Lepisosteus oculatus: one gene and its partners. The protein of the gene in region 1 purifies or fractionates together with the protein of each later gene. This does not show direct contact. Links are inferred from orthologs where the notes say so. Each region holds a gene or a part of one and is shown in the gene's direction. Other genes may lie near its edges.

Region 1 (7,120 bases):
TTCTCCTTTCTTACAAGTTAAAAAGGTGGAATATAGAAACCATCTCTAGAAACATGAAATTTGTTTCCCAAAATCCAGTTTGCAGCCACTTTTTAGCCACAGATGCCTTCGAGAGACAAAGGTGGAGTGAAAAACAGCTGCCTGCCGTCTCCTCTGAAGGACGGAGCTCAAGGATGATCGCAAACTTGTTGGGGAGCTGGGAGGAGTCCCACAGCAGAGCGCAGGAGGCTTGAACTGCCTCTTGGTCGAATCCAAACCAGCCCCCTGCAGCTCCATGAGGTGGCCCCCCCGACGACACCACAATAAAAACCGCCGCATAAGTTAATTTGTGCTGCTGAAAGGAGCATGTGTGCTGCTTTCGTTGCCGAGATACAACGCCTTCTTTTCTACGGTGTGCGGTCATTCAGCCCCTACAACAGTGCAGGAGAGCTGAAACAATCCTTTTAGGGCCGCGTTTGTGCTGCTGAAAGTAACTTTCCTGCTGTTTTCATTCTGTGTAAGCACGCGACTGTCCACATAAGGAAGTGTACAGCTGGTAGCACTGTAATAGATCATGTAGTTTTAGGATATCAACACCTGCAGTTTGCTATCTCTCATTCTGTCTGGGGTGGGTGTATATTTCACGTTTGAATAACGGTAGTCTCTGAGCATTTGTGTGATGAGTAAGAGTTTAGGGAGAGATGTAATATTAAAATAAGTCTTGCCGTTTTATTCTTAAAATGAGAACGATTGTGTTTTCTTAAAGCTTTAGCTACGTATTTGAGGTTAGGAAGTGCAACTTACTGTATTAAAATGACCATCATTGTACTATTTTATAATGAGCAAACAATTAAACATGGAAACAGAGCAGGAAACTGCATTATACAGTATGTTTTGTTGAGAGCACTATGTACACGGTTGACCTTGGTAGTTCATAACCAATCTGCAAAACAAGGTTAGTATCATGGATACAGACTTCAGTAATGTTTGAAAATATTTTAACAAATTTTGAAGAGAATATCTCCCCAAGTTGCTCGCCAGCTTTTCTTTGGTTTCACCTCTGCAAAATCAAATGGCTCCCTAGTGACTTGAAGCTAAAGTTAATGTCCTGCTTGTTTGGTCAGTCTGCACTTCCTGTTGCATGACTTGGGTAACCATGTGTGGTTACCCTAGAGCTCGCCCGGCCACGCTGTGTTCTTCAAGGGGTGACACCCAGGCACTGATGGCTGCAATCCAGCTCCAGGGATCAGCCAGAGCGTCATGGCTTCACTGTGCCCTACACCAGCTACTCACAGGGTAGCCTTCCATCTTCAGTGTTTCAGCAGCCCTGAACATCACACCCACACAACTCTTGTTGGCCACACCCATTTATCCAGCCACGCCTCCATCCAAAGACTAATACTCCTGTTCTGAGCCAGTGACCTGCTCAGCCATAGGTGCCACACCTGGAAAACTGCACATTGTTTTCAATAAAAGGGTAGTTACTCTGTCATTCCCTGTAATAGGTGAATCTAAAGAATCGGCTATTGCTTTCTCCTCTGCTCAAAGTGCAGCAGCAGCATAAATAGCCTCATCCTTGCTGTTGCTGCCTGGATGTTATCACACCTCCGCCTTGCCAAGCAAGTTCTCAGAGTCTTGGCTTCAGACGGGAAAGCTCAAGCCCCGGTGCTGTCAGGCAGGGGAAGCTGAATAGGCCATTACTGGAGCAGAGTCTTCAGGTTCCAAGCTGCCAGCCTGCACTGCTTTCACAAATATCATGAGTGTGAATGTGGATGGCATGGTGGCACCGTGGGTAGCAATACTGCCTTACTGCGCAGCGCGCAGCGGCCCTGAGTTCGGCTTTGGACCGGGGGTGCTGTCTGTCTGGTCTGGTTTCCTCCCACAGTCCGAGTACAGGCTGGTGGGTTCATTAGCGTCTGTGAAAACTGACCCGGCTGTGAGTGTGTGAATGTGTCTGTGTGCCCTGTGATGGACTGGTGTCCCATCCAGGGTGTATCCCACCTCGTGCCTGTTGCTTGCCGGGATGAGCTCCGTCTCTGCCGTGAGGAAAGCGGAAGATTGATAGATGGATGAACGTGCTTCCTCGGAAGTGCAAAATCAGAGAGGGGATCTTTTTACTTGGATGCAGTTTTGAAGAATGTCGGGTGAGCACCGGCCGTCGGGAAACCTCTTGCAAATGACATTGCAGGAGTCTGCTCTCCTGCGGTTCTGGGTTTTCTGTTGGGCAGACACAGGCGAAAGGCTCTCCACTGTGCCATCCATCTCCAAATCCTTCGTTTTTAAATAAGGCTCAAGATTCGAATTTCATTTGCCCTATACAACAAGTGTAGTGGAATGCTTACTCGTTCAGCTGCACCCAGTAACAATAGAGAGAAAAAAAATATCCGCACAAATGACAAACAGACATGGACAATAAATTTTGACAATAGACATTATAATACAGCCAAGACAGGACATAGTGCAAACAGTGCAGTGCCTTAAAGTGAAGGTGCTAATGTGTGCAGGTGCTAATTTGAGCTGTTTAAGATGTGTCCTATTTAAAATATGCATACGTGTATAAAATGCATGGCGTTTCAATTTTAGAATATTTAAAATATGCATATAAACTTAGTTACTTATGAATCAGGCTTAGAAAATCACAATTGCATTTTTGTTTGAAAATCATGTTTTAAGAACCTGGCAGAAGACAGTGCGAGTCTCACGGCCTAGACTGATACAAGAAGGTGAGTAATTGATGTTGTCCTGGTGTCCGGGTCAAATTTCCCCCCTCGGCCCTTACCGTGGCCTCCAAATTTTCCCCATGTACGATTGGCTTGCACTTGCCCTGCGATGGACTGCGATGGACTGCCGTCCTGTCCAGGGCGTACCCTGCCTTGCGCTCGTTGCTTGCCGGGTAGGCTCCGGCTTCCCGCGACACCGTTTGGTATAAAGCGGGTTGGCAAACGACATGACTAAATCCTACAGACGTTTCCACAGGTAGTCCACTAGGCGGCGATGTTGACCTGTTTTTCCGGACTACAGAATCGCCGTGTAGCCGTTGGCGTGATTGATTATATGATCGCTCTTCCTTTCTACGAGGTAGAACAATTTGACCTCATTTGACAGTTTTTGGAAACTGATCACCGTTGAAAAGAAAATCTCTTTCGACCGCTGTATGTTCTAGGCTAATATGAGTCTACAGAAGTGGGTTACGAAAACAAACATATAGATTATTTTACATCAAAAAGGATGTTGCTGCTTTTGAACTCGTTTTGAGACGTAAGGAAATGCGCCGCATCGACAGCGCAAATATTTTACAGATATACAAATATGTTGAACAGAGAAGTCACCAGGGGGACCTGCTTCAAGCATTCAAACTCTTTAAAGGCTCTGACAGAGTCAACCCAGCGACCTTCCTCAGAATCAACAGTGCAACTCAAACCAGAGGACACAAGTCCTGCTAAAACCGAGAGCAGAAGGCTCGTCTCTGTGCGAAGAGTGGTGGGAGCGTGGAGCAAGCTAAGCAGCCATGTTGCTGAAGCCAATTCCCTGGCTTCTTCCAAGACAGGACTGGGTGAGAATCCCAGATTAATTGCATGCTAATAACCAAACGGTAAACGTTCTTTATGGTCAAATATTAAAATATATATTAAAACCGACCTTTTTTCTAGGGACTGTGTATGATTGCCCTGTAGTTTATAGTGTATGCTATTGTTTTTTTTTCTTTTACCCTTTATTGTATTTTAATTAGTTTTTTTCATCACTATATACAGCGCCCTTTGGTTTGGAAAGGCTCTTTATTTAAACAGTTATTATTATTATTATTATTATTATTATTATTATTATTATTATTATTATTATTATTATACGCTTTATAGTCTTTGGTAAGTTAAAAACTACAGTTCCCAGAAAACCCAGCTCTAAACAACAGTCGCCATGGTAATACAAATTAAAACGAGATATTTGGTATGAGATATTCACCATCTCTTAATTGAGTAACACGTTTTGGATGCGAATCGGAACCAAACTGGCGATCCCAGGACAGGGAATGTTTTAGATGAACTTTGCCCTCTCCGTTTCCATGGTGCCCAGGCGGCCAGGGGCGGGAGACCGCACGAGACGAGATGGGCCGGTGGAAGCTCTAGAAACGTCTAGGCGCGCGGCTGCTGCGTCATTGCGCGAGAACGAGGAGGAGAGACACGCGAGGAGAAGGGAGATCAGCTCGGAGCTTCGGCGGGTTTTTATTTTTAATCGCTCGTTTTTTTACTTCGTTCAGAGTAAATACACCTTTCTGTCAGATAACGAGAAACAAACAGCAGAGCAGCACTCCGGAGAGTAGGAAACATCTGAATAAGATAACCAAGATGTAAGTCGATGGGGGTTGGAATGGACTGAGGGGAGAAAGGGGCGAATCACTTACGGCGGTTTTTATTTTTTTAATTCTTTTCAGGGGTGCCTAGAAAAATTTGGACCAGAGTAAGGTTCCCTGTTCCACACACACACACTCACGTTACCCAGTCGTCTCTCAGGGGCAGCGGGCAAGGCAGAGAGCAGGCGAGCGCGGTATAGGCCGCGCTTCACGTTGAGCGCCGGGGTGTCTCTCGGGCGCTTGAAAACGTAGCTTTTGAAAAGGTGCGACTGGTCGTGTGCCCGCCTGCAACCTATTTAGGGGGCGTGGAGGTTGTGTGAAAGGGTATTTTGGAGAAATACTGGGCTCATTTGTTCGATATTGTCCGGATCTGTAGCAGGTAGCGGGAGGCTCGACCTCCGCGCTGTAGGAGCATGTCTGCTCGCTGGGGAGAAAGGAGAGGGGGGAATACAGACACGCTCAGCGGGACGGGATGCAAACGGAGGTGGTCGCTAACAGCTTCTTTTGGAGGACGTATTCTGCATTTATTTAATTATGCTTGTGGCTTGATGGCTCGGGGGCCGTGCATTTCCTATCAAATTAAGGTTTTTCTTGCGCTGGGGTAGCAACGCAACGAACTGCACCCGCCCCTCGTGTGGCTGGGGGTGAGATACTTTTAGGTCAGCTCCGATGTTGGGGTAATCGCGCTGTAATCGCCCCAGATCATCAGGGTAGATCTTTCTGGGGGGGTATATGCCTCCCAAGTCCCGCAACGTGCCGTGGTGTTTTTACACGAAAGTGAAAGTGCCGCGATGCACGCCGGGGATAATGAATGAGAAGATGTCTGCCTGCCGAGCGGGGTTTTGTGTGCCGATATTTATTTTCCGTTGCGATTTCATAGAATGAAATCTCTGCTAGTCTCATTGTTTGCGTCTGTGTGCTCTGAATATTTGGTTGTATTTACATTAAACGTACTTGTTCGATTGTGTAGTAATTTACCAGTTGCGCCTGAATGGCTTAAAAAAAATAAAGATAAAACAGGACGGTTTCGACCTTGAGAACCGCTAAAAAATAGCCTGGCGTGAACATGGTTGTGCTGATGGAGTACCCAGCAGCTGGGACTGAAGTCTTCGGGCTGCACAGTCAGTTCATGGCCACCGCCTGACAAATGCGTCTCGCTTGTTGATGGCGGCCCGGTCCGGCCCGGTCCACGTCGTCTGCCTTGGGGGGAGGGGGGGGGGGTCACATGACGAGCCGGGGTGTGCGCTGCCCGGCCCCTTTGAACCCGAGCTCAGGGGTAATAGCAGGTAAATATGAGCTGTGGGTGAGGTGAGCGTCCGTCGCCTGTAACTACAGAACTACAGCTTGCCATGATGACCTGCTGTTGCTCCTGTGCTGCAGCCCATCCGTGACACAGCTCTTCTCCCAGCTCACTCGAGGCCGCACCAGCCCTCCACGGGGGCGTCGTCCAGACATGGGCACGGTGGGCTGGCCGCTATCAAAAGTCAGGAAAACTTTTAAGTGGCATAGGAGACGTCCAAGCAGGGAGCTGCGGCAGCAGGCATAGGCTGCAAAGGAACAGGTAAAGGTTTATTACAGGCTGAGAGGAGAAGGAAAGATACGCGGTGGTTCCCGGCTGAGCACCCGAAGAAGGCTCCACAGCTGAAACGTTGTCTCTTTTCTTTTCCTTTCAGCATAGAATAAACTTTACCTGTTCCTTGAAGTAGTGTAGTGTTTTTGCTGGTATTCAATACTTTGATTGTAAGTTCACTTGAGCAGGTAGTGGGTGAGTGCGTTTGCCTGACTGTGGAAGTTGGTAGGCTGTTTTTAGGCTACCTGTTGTTGGGTTAAGAAGGTGCGATGTCCTGCAGTGAACTCCCCGGGGAAAGAGCGGAGCTCCTTCCCGGAGGAGAGGAGTCCTTGGAAACGTTGGAAGAGGTGGTTCCGGTGTGCTGTCGAAAGTCTTGCAGAGCTTGAAGAAGTGTGGCCACATAGTAATGAGCACGGAAGGGGGTCGAGGAGAAGTGAACTGGGTGGAGTTCTGGTGTTTTATCCAGCCGTGTGTTTTCAGCCTGCACTGGATTTGCACATCTGGGCTGTGGCTTCTTGAAAGCTTTTCTGTCGGATTAACTTTACATTGAGCTCTAATTTTGAAAGCCCTGGTTCCTGGTTCACAATTGAATATCACTCACGCACTCTGATCTTGCAAAGGTAAACCTATCTGCCTTCAGAGCATCCATTTTCTAACTGCTTTGTCCAATTCAGGGAGCTGGATCCTGTTCTGGCAAGTAATGGGCACAAGGCAGAGTACTGCCTAGATGGGATACCAATCCGTCACACACACTCACACCAGGGTCAGTTTTCCCAGAAGCCAATTAACCTACCACACAGGGAGCACCCTAGTTTCAGAAGTGAACGCATGCCCCCAGGGTTGTGAGGTTGTGAGGCAGGAGTGCAAACCACCGTGCTGCCCCATTACAGAGCGGTTTGAGCCATTTCAGTTTTCACTTGCTGTAAGGTGGTTGTGCGTAAGCTGGGATCTGGAACAGCACATCGACTTGAAACCCTGCTTTGCAAATGTTTTGCTTACACATGGTGTGTGAAGTCATTTTCTTTTATAACCTCTGCTGTTGTGTTCAAGCCCACCAGCTGCTAGAGTGTAAGCAGTGTTGTCTTCTCCCGTTGCTTTATGCCACTCGTGGATGAGTGCAAACCACTAATTACGTGGCCTCCTGCCTGTCAGAATGAACTCCTCAATCCTCTGCCCCACACACGCATCCACACACGTGGTTGGCCATAATTCTAGCTGCTCTA
Region 2 (7,413 bases), on another chromosome or scaffold:
GATTGTGATCCGTCACACGGGATTTTAAAGAATCCCGGTTCTTGGGCAGTTAAAGGACCCTGATCTAATCCCACAGCCCTTCTCACCCCAACCCACCTTCTCTTCGGCACTGCATTATCATCGTCGCTCTCATAGACGGCCACAATCACCTCTTCTTCCCCTTCTTCAAGGACGTCACCACCCTCCGCAGTCAAGGCCTCCTTACTGAGCTTCAGCAGGCGAACTGCCTCTTCATCCTCACTGTCTTGCTAACACCCATGAAGGTTAACATTCATTAGAGGAAATGTGACTCCAAATCTGTACAAAGGGCTACACATTGATTCCAGATCTGTCCAAAGGGCTACACATTGATTCCAGATCTGTACAAAGGGCTACACACGTGCTACACTTTACTGTTGCAAAACAGGACTTGCACTCAAACATGCCATACAAAAACAAGATTAAATTTGTATTACTCACATTTAACAGCAGCAATGCTGCTCAATATCATTAACTCAAAACATTGGATAAAGTGTAATTACAGTAGATATTTATCAACAGGACATTTTGCTAAGATGATTTAAGACATTAAAACGAAGAAGAAACAAGGATAATAATATTTTACCTCCAGCATTAACTGAAACCCAGAAAAACACACATTTTTAATTCAAGTGACTTTAATGGACAATGGTTCTCCTAATCCATCTATGACCAACACGTTAACTAACTCAGTGCCTCCCTCTGTGTAACACACCCTCCCCTTACTCAAGCAACACCAAAATAGGTTTTGCTTAAACAGCTCTGAGCTAAAATGACAATTATATTAGTTATTAAACAAAACACACAGAAAATATTTTCTAAAGATATGCTTCATTAACTGGCACAGAGAAATGAGCAATAAGCGTAGTCTTTTGTCTAAAGACCACTCCTGAGGAGCTGGCAAACCCAGCGACAGTCATACCTTGCGTTTCATTGTGTATTTGAGCTTAGCGTTACGTCGCATCAACTCCAAACGTTCTTCCCTTCTCTTCCTCTTCAACTCATCCTCCTAGACAGAGAAAAGAAAATCAGGATATCTCCTCATGTAGTTTCTTATGTAAAGTGAAAACAGATGTCAAAGGAAGCTTTGATGCTTCAGTCAGTCAGTCCCATTGGTATTTTGGCACTGCTAACAGACGCAAACATGCCTTGTGGAACTGATTATATTTTTTACTGAAAAGTTCCTGATCTCATTATTCCCTAGAGAGTTCCCAATCTTAATCCCTTTAAACTGTTTCTTCAAACTTTTTTATTAATACCTTTAATTTGCTGACCAGATCTCTCTCCGCCTTCTTCTGCACGAAGTCTGTGATCCAGTTGGGCTCTGCAGAGTCTGAGCTCTCCTGGCTCTGGGAAGCCTGTTGGCTCCCTGCAGAGCTGTCTGTAGCAAGGTCCCCAGACTCTAGCAGGCGAGCTGTCTCCTGCCTCTTTCTCTCCTCGTAGTCCCTCAACCAGGTGAGGGCACCACAGATCAGACTGAGAGACTTCCCCTGGAACACAGAACAAGTGGGTCGGAAGCTTGCTCAGCTTCAAAAAGATTGAGGGTGTAGCTTATTCAGCTAGCAGCTCACCGTGCAACTCACAACTGGCAATCTGCTGAAGATTAGCCTGGCCAGTAACTGGATGGGAGACCTCCTGGGAAAGGACGAATTGTAAAACCAGGGTCCTGACTCTGCGTGGTCATTAAAAATCCTAGGGCCCAGGGCGTTTCTCAGAAAGAGTAGGAGTGTTACCCCGGTGTCCTGGCTAAATTTCCTCCTGGCCTTTACCAATCATGGCCTCCTAATAATGAATTTGTGAAATAGTGCCGCTCATTCTTAGTTATACAGTAAATGCACTTCCTCTTTATTTCCACTTGTGTCCTTTGGTTTGGGTTTCACTGTTTATTGTGAAAAGCCCACTTGGGTTTACTTCATCAATGCATTTTAATTAGCAGAATTCCCCTCTTTCAGGAACAGTATATACCCCTTTTTTAACCTAGATACTTCAAACCATATTATCCAAGTGAGAGTCCACAGGCAGCCTATTTAGCAAAATGTCTTTATGTTGAATATGTGATATTAAAGATTATATATTTAATTTAGCTGACATTTATTAAGCATGACCCATGTATATAAAGGGAATAATGGAATAACCAAAATCTATGTTTTATGCAGAATATATCATATATTGACAGTCCTTGAAAAAATCCCAAAAAAGATTCATAATGAGAGACCTCTGAATTCACACACTGGAAAGCTTACTCTGTCTCAACATTAGGACCTAACAGCAATTCAGGAGCTGACAACATTGTGTATCAGGCTCACTTTACTGGAGACAAATAATGACTGTGTGAACATGTCAGCAATATATAGTTATTATTCTTTGAGCTGGACAGGGGTAAACCATGGAAATAAGACAATTAACTCACTGTTCCAGTAGGGCTCTCAAAAATGCCAACCTTTCCTTCATCTAATGCAGTGTACAAAGCCTCCATGAACTGCTTCTGGATGGAGTATGGTTGGTATGGAAATGGGAACTGTATAGGTCCATCTGCCATCTTGAAGCAGACTATGTTAAGAAAGAGAAGTAGCACAGAAAAGAAGCACAGAAAAAACACATAAATCATACTTTATTCTGTCCTCATCCCCATACATGGAAGCAAAGGGCTTACACATTTTGAGTACAAGTGTACAGAGTACCCCATACTGCTCTAGTAGAACTGCACACAATGACACAGACTCCCACGAGGTGGTCCACTAAGTAGAGGAGTCTGTCTAGGATTGTACAAATGTTATTGGGGTTCTTGTCTCATGACTGTCAAGATTTACACAGGAACTGTGTACTAGGCCACCACTTCCAGAGTAATCAGCACTGTTGGATAATTACCCCCGGCACAGAAACAAGTTCCTCCTGGAGAGCTTTCTTGTATTTTCTGTCAAAGGTTAAACATCCTCCACTGAACACGATAACCAGCCGATGCCCAAAACCCAACTCACACCACCATAGACTTTAATGTGTTCTATAGATGGTCTAAGAATTCAGTCCTACCACATTGCAACAGTATAGTGAAACCTAAGACAACAAAGTTTTCCAGGAAACGTTTGAAAAAAAATGTCTCTGTGCTTCCAGTTTTCCTAAACAAATGCAGCCTCAATGTTATCATAAAATTTTAAACATGGCTATAATTATAAAAAACTAAAGATCCATAGTGATTACTCCGTAGAAAACTATAACAAAACTCGCAAGCATAATCTAAATAAGATGAGAACAGTCATCAAATGAATGGATGCCTTAAAGTTCGGTCTAATTCTGAACCGGATCAATGACCAGCCAATCACCGCTCGTGTGACGTCAAGATCGTCCAATCACTGACTGCAGGTCAGACATCAATGGCAAGATATTACGTTTAAACAAGCAACTTCTAAAATTAAACCCATTGTTTAACATTGATTTAACGAGAAATGATTAGTTCCCTGTTTGTCTTCCGTTTGTCTTCTATGGGTAAGCAAACTCAATTATCAAATATATAAACATGCATAAAATCCACCGCGAAGATTGACCAATTCAGCACACAGCAATACACGGACATAAATATACTCAGCTACTTGTAAACGTAAGGAATAATCTGTTGAAATATTCACCGAGTAGTGTGCAGTACGATAGCCGCTGTTCTTGCTGGAGGGCTCACGCTGTTGCAAAGAGCGCGCCAAGTGCTGGGGTAAAATCAGCCAATCACAGACACCCCCGCGATGAACGGAAGGGCTCAGATTACAGCCGGGTTAGGCAAAAAAGTGTTAGTCATTACCCCCAACAATTAAACATATCAATGATTTATTCAAAGCATTCATTGGAATCGTTTTCTCATCTCACAATTCATATGAATAATGCTCTGTGTTGTTACACATACAAAAAATGTATGTGTAATATAGATCGATATATCGTTTTCCTTCTTTTCCAAACTGAACCATTTAAGAGAAAAGGGAGTGTCTACAAAGTTTTAGATCAGGTAAATGAATTAAGTCCTTTAAAAACATACCTACTAACTGTTTGGATTAATGTTTCGTTTACTTTCAGTGCAACAGCCGTTGCAAATTTGTAAACTTGATGATATTTTCAGAACAGGAACACGATTTACTTCCATTTCTTTTCCTAAAACTCATCCATTAATTGTCAGCCCGGTGAAACAATCCTCGCTACTGAAATAAACATGCGTTTAACCGTTTAAACATTTAAACATGATGTATATTCATATTCCCCGCAGCACGTTAAAACCATGAGAAAAGTTTCTGAATTTGCCTAAGCTGCTAATGCACAAGAAGGTTTGCGTTTTTTTCGCGTGTGGAGATATTGGAAGCGACCCCTGGCGCAGGCTACAGTTCAGCCCGGCGCGGCTCTGGAAAGTTCTGTGCCCGTCCTCCTTCGGGGAGCTTGATAGACGGCGCTCGACTGGCAGCCCTGCAGTACGAAGCACACCGCGCGTAGTTCGCAGACGCCTCTGATGCGGACTTTTCGGAACACTGAGATTGCTCTCTGATAAGAGATTTTAAGTCGGCTGCGATTTAAATATATAGTTTATATTTTGTAACAATAAGCTATTGCTTTTGTGTGGATCGATTCCGACACAGGAACAAGCGGCAGGTTTATATCGCAGGTGTTTAAAATTGATTAAAGAGAAAGGGGGTCTGGCGATATCTCCATTCTAGCTACTGAGATCTGAGATTCGGTTAGAATTGCCGTTACAGGTCAGGCGAAATGACTGCAGAAGAAGTAAACGCCGAAGGACAGCAAACGACCCAGATGGAGGGGGAAGACATTACCCCGAAAAAAGATGGAGGAGTTTTAAAGGTAAATAATCTGAATGTATAAAGTGCACGTAGTAGTAGGAAGAGTGATTAATAGCTATTACATAGCTGACTCGTTTTTAATAACGTCTTAATAAATGCGCTTAGTCACCCTGCTGCTAGAAACTCGGTTTTCTGTGAACATGTAAGCCTTTGATTTCCCATAACGTTTTGCATAACTCTATGGTTTTATCTTCATTTGCTCTGCAGTTGGCCCGGTGATTTTTACGTATTTATCCAGACCTTAATAATCGATTCCTAAATACCAAATTGATTACCATAATACTTGGTAAAAAAAAATGAATGGGTATGTGGCTAGTTTGTATGTAAAGGGACGGATTTTTACTCTGACTTTGCAACGTTGAGGAGCTATAAAACCACTCGTAAATACTGCATTAATATTATTAAATAATATCTCGGGGGTCGCAAGGGCAAGTGAAAATTTAGAATGTCCTTATATTCCATGCCTCTACGTTGAGTTGATATTTAGAAATGTTCTGCAACTTTTCTCAGTGCAACCAAATCAGAATTTACTTTCTCAGCAACTACAGGTATTAAGACTTAAACGTCGGAAAGCGAGTAAATGTCACCAACTTTCAAACTGCAGAAAGTACACTGCCCTGGACTTTTCGCACTGAAAAAGTATTTGCGCAGTCACCTTCTTAAATCGTTCTGCAGTCGAATTGTAGCATCTTACTATGTGTTCCACCAATGCCTTCCCCGTTTTTAGACGAATTTAGTTTCATTGGCTTTGAAATTTGAGAATTAATGACTTCCTGCCCTCTTTGTTGCTCTACCGCCTGCGTGTCTGGGCGCACCGCGAGTGTGGTGTTGGTGCGGCTGGAAGCTCCGAGGGTTTTCTAGAACACTGGAACCCCCACGTGCAGGATCTGTCCACGCCGAGAGCAAGATCGCTTCCGTGTCAGTGTTCAGAACTAAGTTCACAATGTCGTGTGTTGACAGGCTTCCTATTGACCAATAGGAATATTGTAATATAATAGTAGTAAACGTCCGCATACCAAATAAATCTAGAATTTCAATCCATTTCAGTTTCTGGACTGTTGGCTGTGAAGTTAATTGACACCTCAACCTGCCAAACCTGAATTCCATATGACAGATCCGTTACAGCGCTTTGAGAAGCCACCTTTAAAGGCGCTATATAAAATAAAGTTTATTATTATTATTTTAATTTTAAGAAGGTGATAAAAGACCTCTTCCTTATTAAAGCGTTGTCTTAATCTATTACCCAGAATTGGAAGATTAATCTTAAAATCCACCTGTTTAACTGGTAATCCACCAGCTACATTTTTGAAAGAAGGTAGATACCTTTTTAAAGATGATAAGTGGAATCAGTCAAACCAGACAGGAAACAGTTTGTGCATCTGTTGAAGATTTTAAACATACTACATTAAAATTCTATACAACATTGAAAACACATGATTAGTTTGAAACTTAACAAAGCATTAAATGGAGAATTAGGCCTAGTGGTTATCTATTAAGTTAATCATGAACATTTATGCTATTTTGTTAATCTTGGACAGTTTGAACTATTGTTTTTCAATGCTTACATATAGTTTTACTTACTGTCAGATTATCCCTAATGTACATGATTGGATGTTTTCATTATCTTTCAATGTGAAAATTAGCATAAACATAATAAGAGAACAAATGTGTTGGAATTGCTTAAGTTTTATTAACATTTGCCATATATGAGCAGTATTATTTATTTGTATTCGTTTTGATTCTTAGGTGATGATAATGAGATGACTGTACAACACAGCATAGCATGTCCCTTTGTGTTTATTTTGTTTAAAATTACCCATTACAGCTCTGTGTACAGCGTTGTGATCACCGTGGTCACTCCTAGACCAGAGTTCTGGGCAACCTTTGAGGCTACCAGGTCTCATATTGTGAAATAAGGTTATTGCAGTTGCACTTGTCTTTCCACCAGCCTCAGGAGAGTGGCTGACCCTTTAGCATAGTGCATGTTTCACACTTTGTCTGCTTCTCAGAGGAGCCCAAAATGGTGATCCCATGTAAGATCTGTCCACATGGTAGTAGGTGTCATAATACATAATAATAATAATAATAATCATTGCTTACACTTACATAGCGCTTTTCTGGACACTCCACTCAAAGCGCTTTACAGGTAATAGGGACTCCCCTCCACCACCACCAATGTGCAGCATCCACCTGGCCATAGTGCGCCAGAACACTCACCACACATCAGCTATTAGTGGGGAGGAGAGCAGAGTAATGAAGCCAATTCATAGATGGGGATTATTAGGAGGCCATGATGTAAGGGCCAATGGGAAATTTGGCCAGGACGCCGGGGTTACACCCCTACTCTTTTCAAGAAACACCCTGGGATTTTTAATGACCACAGAGAGTCAGGACCTCCGATTTACGTCTCATCCGAAGGACGGCACCTGTTTACAGTATATTGTCCCTGTCACTGAACTGGGGCATTAGGACCCACATGGAGCGCAGGGTGAGCGCCCCCTGCTGGCCCCACTAACACCTCTTCCAGCAGCAACCTTAGTTTTTCCCAGGAGGTCTCCCATCCAGGTAC
Region 3 (7,183 bases), on another chromosome or scaffold:
AGTTATTTGAATGGCTAAACTCGTCAATAAAACATATTTTACAGATTCATTAACGCAGAGAGCATTGATAAGAGTGAATGCTCAAATTGGAGAGATGTAGTACTGTACTTAGTGTAGTACCGCAAGAATCTGAGCTAGGATCTCTGCTCTTTCTAATTAATATCAATGATCTGGATTCAAGAATAATTAGTGAATCAAATGTGCACCAAATTAGAAAGATTGTTAAACCCTGTAAAATCAGCAAATTAATTTCAAACAGATTTAAAAGTGCCTCGTAGATGACATATAATGCAGATTTTGTAAGTACAGAGTATTGCATGCAAGTAGTAATGACAAAATGGGAGCTAGAAGAGGCTGCTTCTGAAAATGATTTAGACGTTTATGATGACATGACATTTACACCTTCTACACAACGTGGGAGATCAACTAAAAAGACAAACTAAATGCTTGGATATGCGGTTAAAAGTATAGACTTTGAATCAAAATATGGTATAGCAGAACCCTGCCTCCGCTGAACCCTGTTTCCATCCAGGATGAGGACACCTGGATGATAAGCTGGAGTGGTCTGGTAACACTGACACCCTGTACAAGAAAGGTTAGAGCCAACTCTCCAACTTTTCTTAGAAGCCTCAGGTCCTTTGGTGTGTGTGGAACACTGCTACACATATTTTATGAATCAGTGGTGGCGGTGGCCATCTTCTACGCTGTTGTGTGCTGGGGCAGCAGCTTCATGACAAAAGATGCAAATAGGCTCAATAAATTTATCAAGAAAGCTGGCTCTGTGTTGGGGATGAGCCTTGACCCCATGGAGGTGGTAGCTGAGAGGAGAATTCTGACCAAGCTCACAGCCATCATGAACAACACCTCTCATCCGCTTCATGGGACTGTTACTGGGCAGCGGAGCACTTTTACGGTGTTCAAGGGAATGTTTCCGCAGGTCTTTCCTCCCGGCAGCTGTCAGGGTCTATAACACTGCCTAGGCTAGGACTGTTAGCCCTTTATTTGCTCGTCTATGGACAGCATGTTTGTGCCATTGTACTTTTTGGACAATCAGTCTGTATAAACCTATGCACATTTTGCACATATTGAATTGTTTTTACAGTGACTATGATCATCACATTTTGCACACACCTATGTATTTATTTTTTATTTATTTATTTTGTTGTCTTTTGTTTTATAACTATTCTGATGTCTGTTTTTGCTTGTCTTGGGTTGGACTGCTGTAACACATCAATTTAATAAAATTTAAAAAAAAAGTTTAATAAAGTATTATCTATCTATCACACACTTGTAAGGCCACATTTTTTAGTAAAGTATACCTCTATACCTTATTGTTCATCATGTTTTAGAAAATATACTGTATTGCTACAAAGTTAACCCAGCAGATCTCTTTAGAATGAAGAGTTAAACACAAACCAGAGGGCACAAATGGAAACTACTGTGTGTAGAAGTGCATTTAAAAAGAAGAAAAGGAGGCACATCCGTAAGCAACAGATTGTGGGAGTCTGAAACAAGCTACAGCATGGTGTTGAAGAGATGCTCTCGTTTCTTTTTCAATAAACAGCTGGATGAAAGTGAGCATGTGAACCCATTACCTGCCAATAATCAGTCCAAAGGTTTACCCAGTACTCCACACCACCTCCATATATATGGGTAGAAATAAAAAAACAATGCAAACATGATTTTATATAGCTAAAAGTGTACCATTCAAATCAAAGTATTTTATGTTAAAATAAATATTAGAATGTTGTGCCTTATTTTGGTCACCACACATTACAACAACAACAAAATATCTGGTATTGGTCTGACATTCCAATTGGTTTCTCCTTGTCTTTGTTGAAAAATTTGGAGTCTCTAATAAAAACAGTTCTTTTTTTTTACATAAATTCTTTACTTCATTGCTAAAATGAATTCTGAATTAATTCATTGCTGAATTATAATCAACATGTGCATCAGGGAGTCTATAGCACACACCTAACGTTATACCTTTAGAATGACTTTTGAACAGTCTGACTTACTTAATTTCAGAAACTCAAGATCTTGCTTACATTAAGTTCCTAAACCTGAATACTCATTTTAATATAAAGTATAGCACTGGACTTCTGTCTTTCCTGCACTCTGGAACAGTGTGTATCCACTAATGTTACTTTCGGCATCATCGGTTTCAGTTAACCATGTTTCTGTGATCTCAATTGTTATATTTACCTATAATTGCTTATCTCAGAATGGAACATGCATAAAGGGACATACCATGGAGCGTGTGAAAGTGCATTTAAAAATGAGAATAGGAGGCACTTCTTTATGTAATGGGGTGTGGGAGACCGTAACAAGCTATGCAGCCAAGCTCTTAAAGAGATTCTGTATTCTAGCTTCTTCCAATAAACAGCTGGATTACATTTTTGGATCATTTAGTGCAAACTACCTAATAGATAACATGGTTTGAATGCCCTCCTTTCATTTTAAACCTTTTTTATGTTACTGTACTTTAATTTGTATAATACATTTAAAGCCTTTTTCGGTTTTGTTTGATTTGTTACTGCAGTAGAATAGTTATTTGAGAAATGTTATTTAAATATTTAGATTTATACAGTATCCATTTCCAAAAATACATGTACAGTATTTGTATAGCATAGGTCTTCATAGAGTAAAGTTATTTAGTTTATCCATGGGATGTCTAGTGGTTGTGCTGAAGGGCCATTAACAGTCATTTGTAGTAATATTCACAGAAGTTCAAGTGCTACAATTGAACTCGTATTCACAACCATAATAGTTTCATTTACTCATTCAATGATGTTTTACATAAGCACACAATAATTATTCACACCCTCTTTCATGTCCACAGTTAAAACAATAAATAGAAAATGATTATGAATGATTAGGTATACCAGCTAAAAAAGGTAATTAAACTTAAATATTCTGAAGGAGGCAATTAATACATGTTCTAATAGGCAGCTTGTTGCATCTGTGGTATTCAAATAAGGTGACTCACTTTTCAATCTTTAATTGCTACATGCAATAATGGGACACCTGCATGGCTGTCAGAGACTTGCACATTGAGACAAATATACTGTGGGAGATGTGTTTCGTGTTTTCTTGAATTAAAGGTGTATTCTACTTTCATTCAGTGGACACATGAGACACTAGGTTACGAGGGACCCTGGGGCTGAATGAAACAAGTCAATTTTATTCAGCAAAATAAGGCATTCCTAAAACTGCAATCCAGTCATTTATAAATTTAAACACCGTGAGGGATACATGAAAACAAAATATATAATTTCCTTCCTTTCCCTTTCCAAAAGTATTTAGTAAAGTTCTCCTAGAAAGAAAAAAAATCTAATGATAAATATCCCCAAATCCCTTCTATTGATATTTGTCCTGCTCATTAGCAGTAGGGTACACCTAATTATAGAGCACTGAAGTCTTCTCTTCAGAAGAGGTTTACGAAAGTCTGCTCTTATCCTTCTTATCTCACAAGGTTTAGCAAAACTGGAGTCTTTAACAACCTGGTTTATGCTGCAATACAGAAATAATGTTTTTAATAAAGTATTCTACTTCTTGACATGCTGCTTCTATGGCAGGAAGTATTGGGGGCAGGATGCTGCAGTTTATAAAACAGTGTTACAGACAGTAGTGGAATGGCTTTGCAAGTGCTGTGCTGCAGTTATAGCGTTATTGAGCTACAGTATGCTACAGTAGCTGCTGTATGTCACTGCTGCAATATAAGATTTTATTTTTTCAAGTAGTGTGTAGCTGCAGGTCCTATCCTTACCAGTGCTCTTTTTTTTGCTGAGTAACAGAATAAACATTTTTTTTTCTTGTCAGTTGAAATTGATGATGTCCGTTCACATGTTCATATGGTGTACGAACAGAAGCACACAGCTACTGTATAAACATTCCCTGAACAAAGGGTAATGGTGGTAATAACTTTGAACAAATACAGACACACTTAAACAGCAGGTGTTACTGTATAATATAGTTAATTTATTGTCTAGCAAATATACCAAACACATAAACGTAAGAATTATCACTCAGAATGTTATCCTGTTGTACTGTATACAGTATGTCTAACACACAGCAGCGTGGCTTCTTAACCCTGAGGTCTGGAGATCACGTAATACGTCAGTGTATTACCCTGAACCTTAGGTCCTTAAGACCCCACGGAATCCTGCAGCAATGCTGTAGCTGTGTAAGCCATCTGCTGCTACCATTTATGTAGTTCTGGGTGAGAGTGACGCTGCTCCATTAATAGCAAAGGTTTTAATTCACCCAGGCAAAACCTGATCTTTCTTGTAGTAAGGGATCGAATAGAACATTGACTGGGAGTGCTTCCAAAATTATCAGAAAAAGCAAGGCAAGACACGATTAGGAAATAACCACGTCAAGAAAATGAAGACAGAGGGCACGCCAGAAGGAATCGAAAGGTTTATCAGTCCTGGCAAAGGCAGGGGACTGAGGGCTTTGAAACAGTTTAAAGTTGGAGATCTTCTTTTTACGTGCCCGGCGTATACTTACGTATTGACAGTCAACGAGAGAGGCAACCACTGTGAATTCTGCTTTGCAAGGTACGTCACTGACATAACTTTCAATTAGCAATTAATTTAACATTACTGCGGCGGAGTGCTGAGAAAGACTGCTTGCTGGAAGGAAGTCATCGCAGTAGTTCGAGAGAAAGGCTTCCTGTTGGTCGTAATGGACTTTCAGTAGCTGATTACGAGTATGAATGGGGACCGTAGCAACAGAACGTCATGAAATTCAGTGCACTTAATACAAATAATTAAAAAATAAAACTATATAATTAAACACTACTTTGCTGAGGTCGTTATTTTACTACTCAAGTTCCAGTTTGAACTGTTTTTAGTATTCGTGTGTTGACTTCACAACTTTCAGAAAATCACCATATTAGAATTAAAGAAGTATTAAGGATAACGTGTTAGGGGGTCTGTAGGTATCGATGACTTTTACAATAACAACGAAGGAAAATGTGCAGTGCCCTTAGTCCTGGGGAATGCGCGGACCATTTTGGATAATGCACGTACGGTAGTACCTTACAGTTAAGATACTACAAATTATTAATTTAATCTTGTCCTTTTCCAATAAAACATTCTTTCATTTAGATGTGCAACAGCCATATTAATTATCTAAAAAAACAGCTTAATTATTTTCAGTTTCTGGAATTTATCAGTTCATTTCAGCAATTATTATTTTCTAATTCGTTTCATACTCGTGTGAAGTTTTTGCATTTCTTGCGGTAGAGCAGTAACATCTGTTGCTAACTCAAAAGTTAGTCGATCAGATTTATGTCCAGCAAACCACTGGACAACGCTGGCACTTGCTTTCCTATGGCACGTTGGATGAGCCTTAAAATCTGTCAAACAGAAGTTGGCGGATATTAAATGGTGACGCATCTCGCATTTTATTGCCAGGTTTTATGCAGGCTTTAACGGGAGGTTTATGGGTTGTTTTATTTGCTGGTTGCATCTTAATAGCTTATCGTTTTCGGGAGGTATTTTGGAAAGCATAAACAGATTCTTCTTTTGTCTTTAATATAGCATTGACTGTGGAAATCTTAAAAGGCACATTTTCGAGTGCTCTGTAAAAAAATATTTTAAAAGTCCTGATATAAAAAAAGGCTGAAATAGGTGTGTTTTAGTACCTTATACTCCACAATTCTTTATCTTTCATGAAAGGTAACTGTTGTATAGAAATATGGATATGTGTGGCCTTCTGGGCATGGCTATGGGTTACATCAGTCTGTCCTTCCACTGTCTGTTGGGGCGGTTGTCCATCTGAATGATTTGTAAAGGGACTGAGAAAAGCATAACTTGAATTTAAGAAAACTACTTTTCTTTGAGACTGAAAGTGTATTGTTGCAAATGAGGGGTTACAATAATTGTGAATTTCAGGAATTGACTGAGCTCTTCAGTCAGTTAGTAAAATAATTATTCATAACCCTCAACTTGTAAGTGATTTCTCCAGAATATACCTGAGCGGTTGGTATAATTAAAGGCATGTGAATTCTCTGGTACAGCTTCAGTGAAAAGAGTAATGATCCAGGTACAAATGTTTATTAACAAATGACAAGGCAAACACTACGCTGCACACAACACAATATACAACGCACAAGGTGCTATATTTACAATATGTACAAATGAGGTGTTTTAGAGGCCTAACATCCTAACCACCCAGAAAACCTGACAGCTACTAAGCTTTGAACTCTTAAATAATGCCCACAGAAGCCACAATAAGAAGTGCAGTAAACTCCCTTTTAATAAATATAATGCAACCTCCAGTTAAATGTCTCACTTTTCAAACCCCGATGCCACAAAATAAATGGGAGCCTATTTCCCTATTCTAAAAATGTCCCCACAAGCAGGAAAGATGTTTAGCTTATTCCCAGGAAACCCAAGTTCCCTAAAAACACAGAACAGCAAGCTCTCTCTAGCAAGCTTCAAATACTTATCTCCACTCAGGTTTAGTTTGGATGATCATGAAGTAGGGGCTCTCGCCCAGTGCAAGCTTCAATTTCCATCTCCTTCTGCCTCCTCTCTTGAGGTCTAACTTTCTCCCTCTTCCTTTTCCTCTCTTCTGTGTTTTGATGTGATCTCATCTGGTGTGTTTCTGGACTGCTCATTGTCAATAATTTACCCACAGCTTAATTAACTAGGTAACCCAAGGTAAACTTTCCATTTGGTTTTGATCAGGGAACCCCTTACATCTGTTTTGAAGCTAGAGATGTTTACACTGCTAGATGATAATAACTTTATCTAAACTCTTAGAGACTCTTCCTAGTCGCCTATAGCTGTAACAGTATTCATGCACATTAAACAGTTTTTTTAATCTATGATTACTACAAAGAGTGGGCCAGTTGAGTTCTTATCTAGAACAAGGTACTAAGATACTTAAAATGGTTTTCACCAAAATGTTTTTGTTACTTTTCAGTAAAGTCCCCCTTGACTTTGTTGTCGTTTCCCAACTTCTTCACTCTATGCTGTCAAAACATAGTCTCTAAGAGGCATTCTCTCTTCCTGATGCAATGAGAGATGTAAAACTGAGGTTCATTCTTGATCATTAAAAATCCCAGGGCATTTCTTTAAAAGAATGTACCAGTGTCCTGGTAAATTTCCCCCTTGAAAATTTACCAATCGTGATCTCCTACTGATCTCTATGTACTGTATGAATTGGA
Region 4 (7,031 bases), on another chromosome or scaffold:
GGCCAGAGGGAGACCAGGCATTAAAGGGGTTCACGTAACACAGCCGGCACCTGGGAACACCTACAACCTGGGCTGACAGTGGGCTCCTCCGCCCTCAGGGCTGTTGGGGCTCCCTGTTTTCTACACGGCTGGCCGGGCCTGCTGGATTGACGATCGGCCTCAGCCCAGAGCAACAGGCAGCACAACCTGTCCCGCCAGGCAACCAACTGGTCCCCCAGTTTAAACACTGCTTATTCCTCAAGCTGCAGAAAGCACGAACCATGAACATGTTAACTGCTTCTTTTCAAGCAAAGGGGCCTGTTAACGGTATCCGCTCTTTTCTAAAAAAGTACTTTACAGTCCTGGAATGTGGCAACCCCTAAAAAAATACACTAAAAGCCTACACAGAGCACCTATATATGGCGAGCAAACCATCAAAAAGCATCACACACCCGAAGAAGGCTCCACAGCCGAAACATTTTGTTTCTTTTCTTCTCTTTTCAGCGTGGAATAAACCTTTACTTGTTCCTTTGCAGCCTACACATGCTGACTCAAGTAGCTACCTCCTTGAACTACATCAAAAAGGGGTTTCTTATAATGTATCTCCAGGGTATTATTATTCTTTAATCTTACATTAAAAACACCAAATCAGCATTTTACTATCTACAATGAGTCCCATTGACTACACCGAGTACCATTCAATGCAGCTATTGGTTAATATACACAATACACACAGGTCTGTTCATAGCAAGAAGGCACCACATCCAAACCTCACCACCACCTTGGAAAAAACAAGCCCTCCACTCACTCATGATAAGTTATTCCTGGGGCTAACGCACTGAAGACCGCTGTCACTGTTTTATGGTCATGCTTGCACTTAAATCCACCAGCAGATTCCAGTAGCGTCCAGGATGAAACAGATTCTGATAGCCCAAGCCCTGCATTCAGCAAAACGTCACACCTTACCTGGTTACTCTGTGAAGGAGAAAAATAGTCCTCTTGCTTTCGATGGTAATATCGCGACTCAGTTTCACCAGCCTTTCGTATTTGTCATGCTTGGTGTCCAGCTCCAGCTGAAATGCTATAAAAAGAGGGGGAAAGCACTTCCTGTGAATTGGCTTCATTACTCTGCTCTCCTCCCCACTGATAGCAGGTGTGTGGTGGGCATTCTGGCGCACTATGGCTGCCGTCGCATCATCCAGGTGGGGCTGCACACTGGTGGTGGTGGAGGGGAGACCCCATTACCTGTAAAGCGCTTTGAGTGGAGTGTCCAGAAAAGCACCGTATAAGTGTAAGTAATTATTATTATAATTATTACCTTGACACCAATTTCAACTGTTCTGTCAGGGTACTACAAAAGAACTAGCTCTTAAGTATAATGCAGAGACTTACCAGCAATCAGTCTGCTCATTTGTTGCTTCTATTTCTCTATTGCTCTAGCATGAAAAAAAACGTATTTCCTTACATTTAAATGCTGCCATCACAGCTGAAGTTGTGTTAGTACCATCGTCCTGATCTTCCATTTTGTGGGTCGGAGTGTAATCTTGTCTCCGTTTCCGAAAACTTCCATCACCTTTGAAACCAAAACCCATAAACACACACAGGCATGTTACCACTCAAACGGTATGTTATATGGTCTTAAACCTCAAACAGCAAATAGACAATGAAATAACTGCTATTGCCCTGTAAAAAGGTTCCGTTTCAAACTTCTGTACTCATATCAACGTCCTGTCTGTCAGTTTATAAAATAAGATCAAAGCGCAGCTACAGAGGAATGATTGGGTAAGATCTATTCTTCACTGTTAAGGATGTTCATACAATTTAAAGGAATGTGGCTTCTGAGATCACAAACGAACTATTATCATTACTTATTTAGAAGACGACTTTAACGAAGCGTCAAACAACTTGTAAATAAGGACCTATTCGCGGGGCAATAAAAGCATTTGAATTTCAAAGGAAATACGGGGATGTAGCCGCATTTCAAAGGGACTGTTCCCCAATACCATCAGAAAAGGCTCACGTGTAAAACAAATACCGTTAACAATGCGAACAGATGTGTTTTCACAACAGCGGTGTACTCCTGCTCGCCTTAGCGGACTAACCCCGTTCAAGTCTTTGGTTAGCTCTGAATGTTGTTAGCTGTGTGATCTGAGATTACCCAGTTAAACGCGCATTTTCAATGAATTTTACTTTCAGAAATTGAGTCTCTATTTTCCTTCCTCTTTGTGACTGCGATTAATTAGCTGACAGATGCCATTCCTGAGCTTTTTAAATCAACCACAGCTGATTATCTTATCCCCTCCCTCTTAACCAAATTAACAACACCCAATGTATTTTTGAAAGGAGGATTAGCTCGAAAGGACAATTTTGGCAATTAGCCGTTCAGCCCACACTACAACCGACAGCGTGTGAGCAGACATCATCACTGCTGCTTTTAATCCAATTAATGTCAGAACTGTCCACACGCAAGCACCTCGTTTGAAAAAAACAACAAATATAAATTAATGAATATTAAAAAACAAAAATTTCCTACGACAGAAAACTCCGGCTTTCAAGCAATATGTCGTGAATTCCGTTACTACCTACAAAACAAATCACTGAACACTAACCTTCTTTTCTACTCATCGCGAACTAAAATAGTTTTTACCAAAATGTTCTTTGTTATTTAAACTCTGATTGACTTTAATTGCAGAAATTAACAATCGCCAATTCGCTGTGCCCAAGGATGTGTTTACATCAAACCACGCTTTCCTAAACAACCATGTTTCGCTCCTAGAACACTGGATATGCTGTAGCTGCCTTACAACTGCCTGTTAAATTAAAACAGAAAAGAAAGAAAATCATGTAGGTAAATAAAATATTTAGAAGTTTAGTTTTATTCACAATAATCGAATAGAAATTAAAAAGAACGTCGATGTTGTTTTCTGACCGAACTGTGACTAAGACGTACTTATTTTAATAGTGGCATGAGCTTTGCTTTTCAGGCCGGGAGCCGATCTTTTCAATTTAAAAATACGTCATACTGGAAAATTGCATTTTGGGAAATGTATTTTTAAGATATAGCGGCTCTCTAACGTGGTGTGTACAGTGTATACGTACTGTACAAGACCGGTATTTCATTTAAAAAAACACTCAAAAAGTTAATGCAATTCTTACACGTGAGCACATAATAATTAATGACAGGAAAAAAAGTAGATTATTGTTATGGATCCTACAAGTATATGGGATGAAGGTGTGACAAATGCAGGGAATTATGCTTCTGTTATAACTGATTATGCGGTACCTTTGATCATACAATGCCTTTACTATATTCAGACCGAAAAAAAAAAGAAATCTCGTCTGGTTTTAGGGAAACAAGGCTGATTTTGCCTAATCGGGTTAAGCACACGCAGTGAGGAAACTTGCAACCCACAAACAAAACCCAAGTCCAAATACGGGGTGCATTATAATATCAAAAGTGAGATATGAGGGTTCCGAACTATTGTGCCAAGAGAGGGTGGCGCTTAAAACACGTTGCTTTGAACAGCAGTATCCCTGGAGTCCACAAAAAAGCTCAACAGCTGGCCTATCATTTGCATTAATAAAAACAACGGGATTTTTCTGGGACACTCAGAAAAAACATCTTTCAAGGGTCCCAAGATGCTCTTGGCACCGTTAGATCACACAAAACACAGATACTTCCCGCAAACGTAACACCTTCAGGGTGTGTGTTTAAATGCGTTATTTCTTCTTTGTAAGCACTGCCTGATCAATAATTGCTGTAGAAGATGGCAAAATCGGCAAATCCCGGATTTCTGATGGGTCACGAAGAATACATGCAATGGCAGAGTATTTCGAAGAATAGGGAAACGCGCGCTGCGCGTCGCGTGTCGTAAATGCCAGATCTCCACAGAAAAAACTACGTCTTAAAATAAGCGCTCGGCAGTTCTGACAGCAGCGGCTGGGTGGCGCTCCAGGGACGAGCCCCTAATTTCAAGGCTTCAGTTCTGAGGAAACCCAGAACAGATTTAGTTGTTTCCCCCCCCTCGGCATTGTGACGTCGCTGTGTCTGGAATTCTGAGGCACAGAGGCGAACGCGTTCCGAAGCGCGTCGGAGCGGCCGCAGGTGTCACGGTTCCGAAACCGCCTACGGGCTGGGCACCCGATTTGTCTGGGCGACTTGACAACGCCGCGGACTGCACACAGACACGCACGCCTCCCCGGCCGCACTCCACTGCTGGGGTTCTTGTGAATGGCTCTAGGCGGGCCCTGCCCTTCCCTCGTTGACGTCAGGGGTTGGGGTTGGTTAGGGACGACGTGAGGAGCGGAGAAAGAGCGCGGCGCCATGTGTCTCTGGGAGACTGGCGCTCTGAGACCAGGGGCATTTCGGAGTGCAGAGGGAGTGCGCCATGTGCCGTCTGCACTGTCCGGTGTTCGCCCTCCAGTAACCCGCAGAGGGTAACGCAGCGTGGGTGATGAAAGTGCGTCGCGCCGAAGCGGAGGGAGCAGGTTTTCCTTTGGGCTTGTTTGCGGCGGCGGATCCCTTCCAAACTTGTACTGCGCCGCCGGGGCGAGGGGCAGCGCTGGATTTAAAGGGCCAGTAGCCGCCGCTGAACTTCGCAGCCATGGCGAGCGAGGAGGGCACGCTGTCGGACCTGGAGCGGGACCGGCAGTACTGCGAGCTCTGCGGGAAGATGGAGAACCTGCTCAAGTGCGGGCGCTGCCGATCCTCCTTCTACTGCAGCAGGGAACACCAGAAGCAGGACTGGAAGAAGCACAAGCTGGTGTGCAAGGAGGCGGGGAAAGCGCCGAGCCCGTCGCAGCCGGAGAAGAACCGGGCGGTCCGAGACGGGAAAGGAGCACAGCCGCCGCAGAAGGCCCGCCCCGGGCCGGACACGCCGGCTTCCCAGAGCCCGGCGGACACGGGGCCTCCGGAGAGGGAAGGGACGACGGATCATATCAACTGCGCGGACGAGCCGGGTGGCATCGCCAACAACAAGCAAGCCGGGGACGGGATTCACAATAACATTAAGCCCAACGGTCAGACGAAAGCCCAGCCTCAGAAGCTGGCCATGGAGTACATCGTGCCCTGCATGAACAAGCACGGCATCTGTGTGGTGGACAATTTCCTCGGGGAAGAGGTTGGACTGCGCATCCTGGAGGACGTCAGAGCCCTCCACCAGACCGGCAAGTTCACGGACGGCCAGCTGGTCAGCCAGCGGAGCGACTCCTCCAGGGACATCCGGGGCGACAAAATCGCGTGGATCGAGGGGAAGGAGCCCGGCTGTGAGAAGATAGCCTTTCTCATGAGCCGCATGGACGATCTGGTCAGACACTGTAATGGTAAACTGGGAAACTACCAAATAAACGGGAGGACGAAAGTAAGTAGCGCCCCAGGTGCGGACGGTGTAACCCCCCCGGCGCGCAGGTGCACATAACCCTCCACACCCCCTCCCCTCCCCTCTCCTCTCCTCTCCCCTGAGCAGGTGAAAAACTGGCCCGCCAGCTGTCGTCGGGGAACCGCCGGGTAAACACCTCCACGTGTGAGGAACGAGGCGCCAGGATGATTGTTGTCTTTCGAGAGTTTTGTTTCACGCGTGTCTGTAAAATGCGTGAGATGACACGTTTAGCACCGAGTCTTGGTGGGGGGGACAACACTTACTTTGACCTGAAGCAGCAGGTGACGGGGAAAACAGACGAGTTTATTCCAAGATCCATTAACAATACCGGGTGCTTTTCCAGCTCGTAAGTAGTCGAGTTCCTTGGTGTTTGCTCTTGTCCGACACCTCTGCACCATTCGTTTCCGTCAGACGCAGTGGCAAGCAGCTGGAATATAGTCCGTGACCCCTTTTGACGTGTTTTCTGCGATGGACAGTTACAGGGGTTAAAAGGGAAAGTTGTGTTTGTGTTTTTTTCCTGGAGTGGGGAAAAATGTAGCTGTTTCCATTCGACAGCGATGCAGGCATTGTGTGTGTCAGCGTTAAAATGAAATCATGATGGACTACTGACCAGCGATCCTTGGGCGAAATGCTCTTCACTTTGACGAAGGAAAGCGAGGCCTTAGTCCGCTAATAACTTTGTAGACACGGACCCAGGCTGAGTCTATCAGCGCAGTGCCTAATTGTCTAATGAAATACGCAATACCAGCTCAATTAAGAACCCGTTCTGAGCTGTATCCTTTCCAGAATTCTTATTGAGATGACAAACGTTTATTTTTCGGCGATCGTTCGATACCGGTGTAAATCATTATAGCACGTTGTACGTGTTTGGGAATGAAAAGCATCAGGGAGAGTTTTACGCACACGTGATTTAGAAAGTGACTGACGGATGTAATTCCATGTGACCGAAGAAGATTGAGCCTGGAAGTGACAGATGTTCCGAAGTCCAGAAAAGAGCATTTCTGTATTCAAATAACGGAGAAAATAAAAGAGAGGTTAAAGAACATTTTAGGATTAAAAAAAAAACGTGGCTCACTAAATTAGTCGTCTGAATTCTATATAGGCTGATTTCACTGCAGTGATAATGTTAATCCCTTTTTATTTTTTTGAGCACGTTTGTGATGAGAACAAGGAAAAAGCCCTTAAGAGAATCGAGCTATTTTGTTTTTAAAAAGTGCATTAAAATAGTATATGAAGTACAAATGGAGTAGTCGAGCACTTCAAAACACAGACCCCTTGGATTAAGACGAGAAAGCTTTAACCTGTCCACATTTGCTGAAACTTTATGCATTTGTTAGAATGCATATTTGTGTCTTTTTTTACAGCAAAGGCTTTATTGAATTTATACAGAACAGCATAGCAAAAAAGTGCTGTTTTGTATAAGTCAGTTTGACATGTGTTTTCTTTCTTCTCTTTTCAGCATGGAATAAACCTGTTACTGAGAAATGCTCAGGTGATGCAAAATGATCATTAAAATAAGTTGAGCAGTGTTACGTAGTTACCATAGGGACAGACAGTAAAGACGAATGACCGCAGTGACTTTGTAACAGGAGCTGGGAAAAGAAACTGAGGAAAATGTTATCGTTGAAGAAAACGAAGGACAAATGCGAGCACAGATGTTAGAACTGTAATAAG

The links.
Region 2: the proteins of prostaglandin E synthase 3 (region 1) and fkbp4 purify together in Homo sapiens (affinity purification with mass spectrometry; 3 studies listed by BioGRID and IntAct, with this or other methods). This does not show direct contact. The link is inferred for Lepisosteus oculatus from reciprocal best matches to the Homo sapiens genes PTGES3 and FKBP4.
Region 3: the proteins of prostaglandin E synthase 3 (region 1) and smyd2a purify together in Homo sapiens (affinity purification with mass spectrometry; 3 studies listed by BioGRID and IntAct, with this or other methods). This does not show direct contact. The link is inferred for Lepisosteus oculatus from reciprocal best matches to the Homo sapiens genes PTGES3 and SMYD2.
Region 4: the proteins of prostaglandin E synthase 3 (region 1) and egln1a purify together in Homo sapiens (affinity purification with mass spectrometry; 5 studies listed by BioGRID and IntAct, with this or other methods). This does not show direct contact. The link is inferred for Lepisosteus oculatus from reciprocal best matches to the Homo sapiens genes PTGES3 and EGLN1.

The regions. Positions count from the first base shown.
Region 1 is NC_090696.1:20,892,876-20,899,995, reverse strand, and holds the start of prostaglandin E synthase 3, read left to right. Parts: upstream 1-4,097; 5' UTR 4,098-4,322; coding exon 4,323-4,324; intron 4,325-7,120. UniProt on the Homo sapiens protein: Cytosolic prostaglandin synthase that catalyzes the oxidoreduction of prostaglandin endoperoxide H2 (PGH2) to prostaglandin E2 (PGE2).
Region 2 is NC_090702.1:11,471,042-11,478,454, reverse strand, and holds the start of fkbp4 (peptidyl-prolyl cis-trans isomerase FKBP4), read left to right. Parts: upstream 1-4,413; 5' UTR 4,414-4,752; coding exon 4,753-4,845; intron 4,846-7,413. Other genes in the region: ATP-dependent DNA helicase DDX11, read right to left, coding at 97-248, 941-1,027, 1,278-1,508, 2,429-2,557. UniProt on the Homo sapiens protein: Immunophilin protein with PPIase and co-chaperone activities. Component of steroid receptors heterocomplexes through interaction with heat-shock protein 90 (HSP90).
Region 3 is NC_090697.1:21,658,945-21,666,127, reverse strand, and holds the start of smyd2a (N-lysine methyltransferase SMYD2-A), read left to right. Parts: upstream 1-4,179; 5' UTR 4,180-4,386; coding exon 4,387-4,562; intron 4,563-7,183. UniProt on the Homo sapiens protein: Protein-lysine N-methyltransferase that methylates both histones and non-histone proteins, including p53/TP53 and RB1. Specifically trimethylates histone H3 'Lys-4' (H3K4me3) in vivo. The activity requires interaction with HSP90alpha.
Region 4 is NC_090712.1:5,069,604-5,076,634, reverse strand, and holds the start of egln1a (egl nine homolog 1), read left to right. Parts: upstream 1-4,025; 5' UTR 4,026-4,583; coding exon 4,584-5,339; intron 5,340-5,620; exon of another isoform or gene 5,621-5,644; intron 5,645-7,031. Other genes in the region: tsnax (translin-associated protein X), read right to left, coding at 946-1,060, 1,445-1,552, 2,589-2,604. UniProt on the Homo sapiens protein: Cellular oxygen sensor that catalyzes, under normoxic conditions, the post-translational formation of 4-hydroxyproline in hypoxia-inducible factor (HIF) alpha proteins.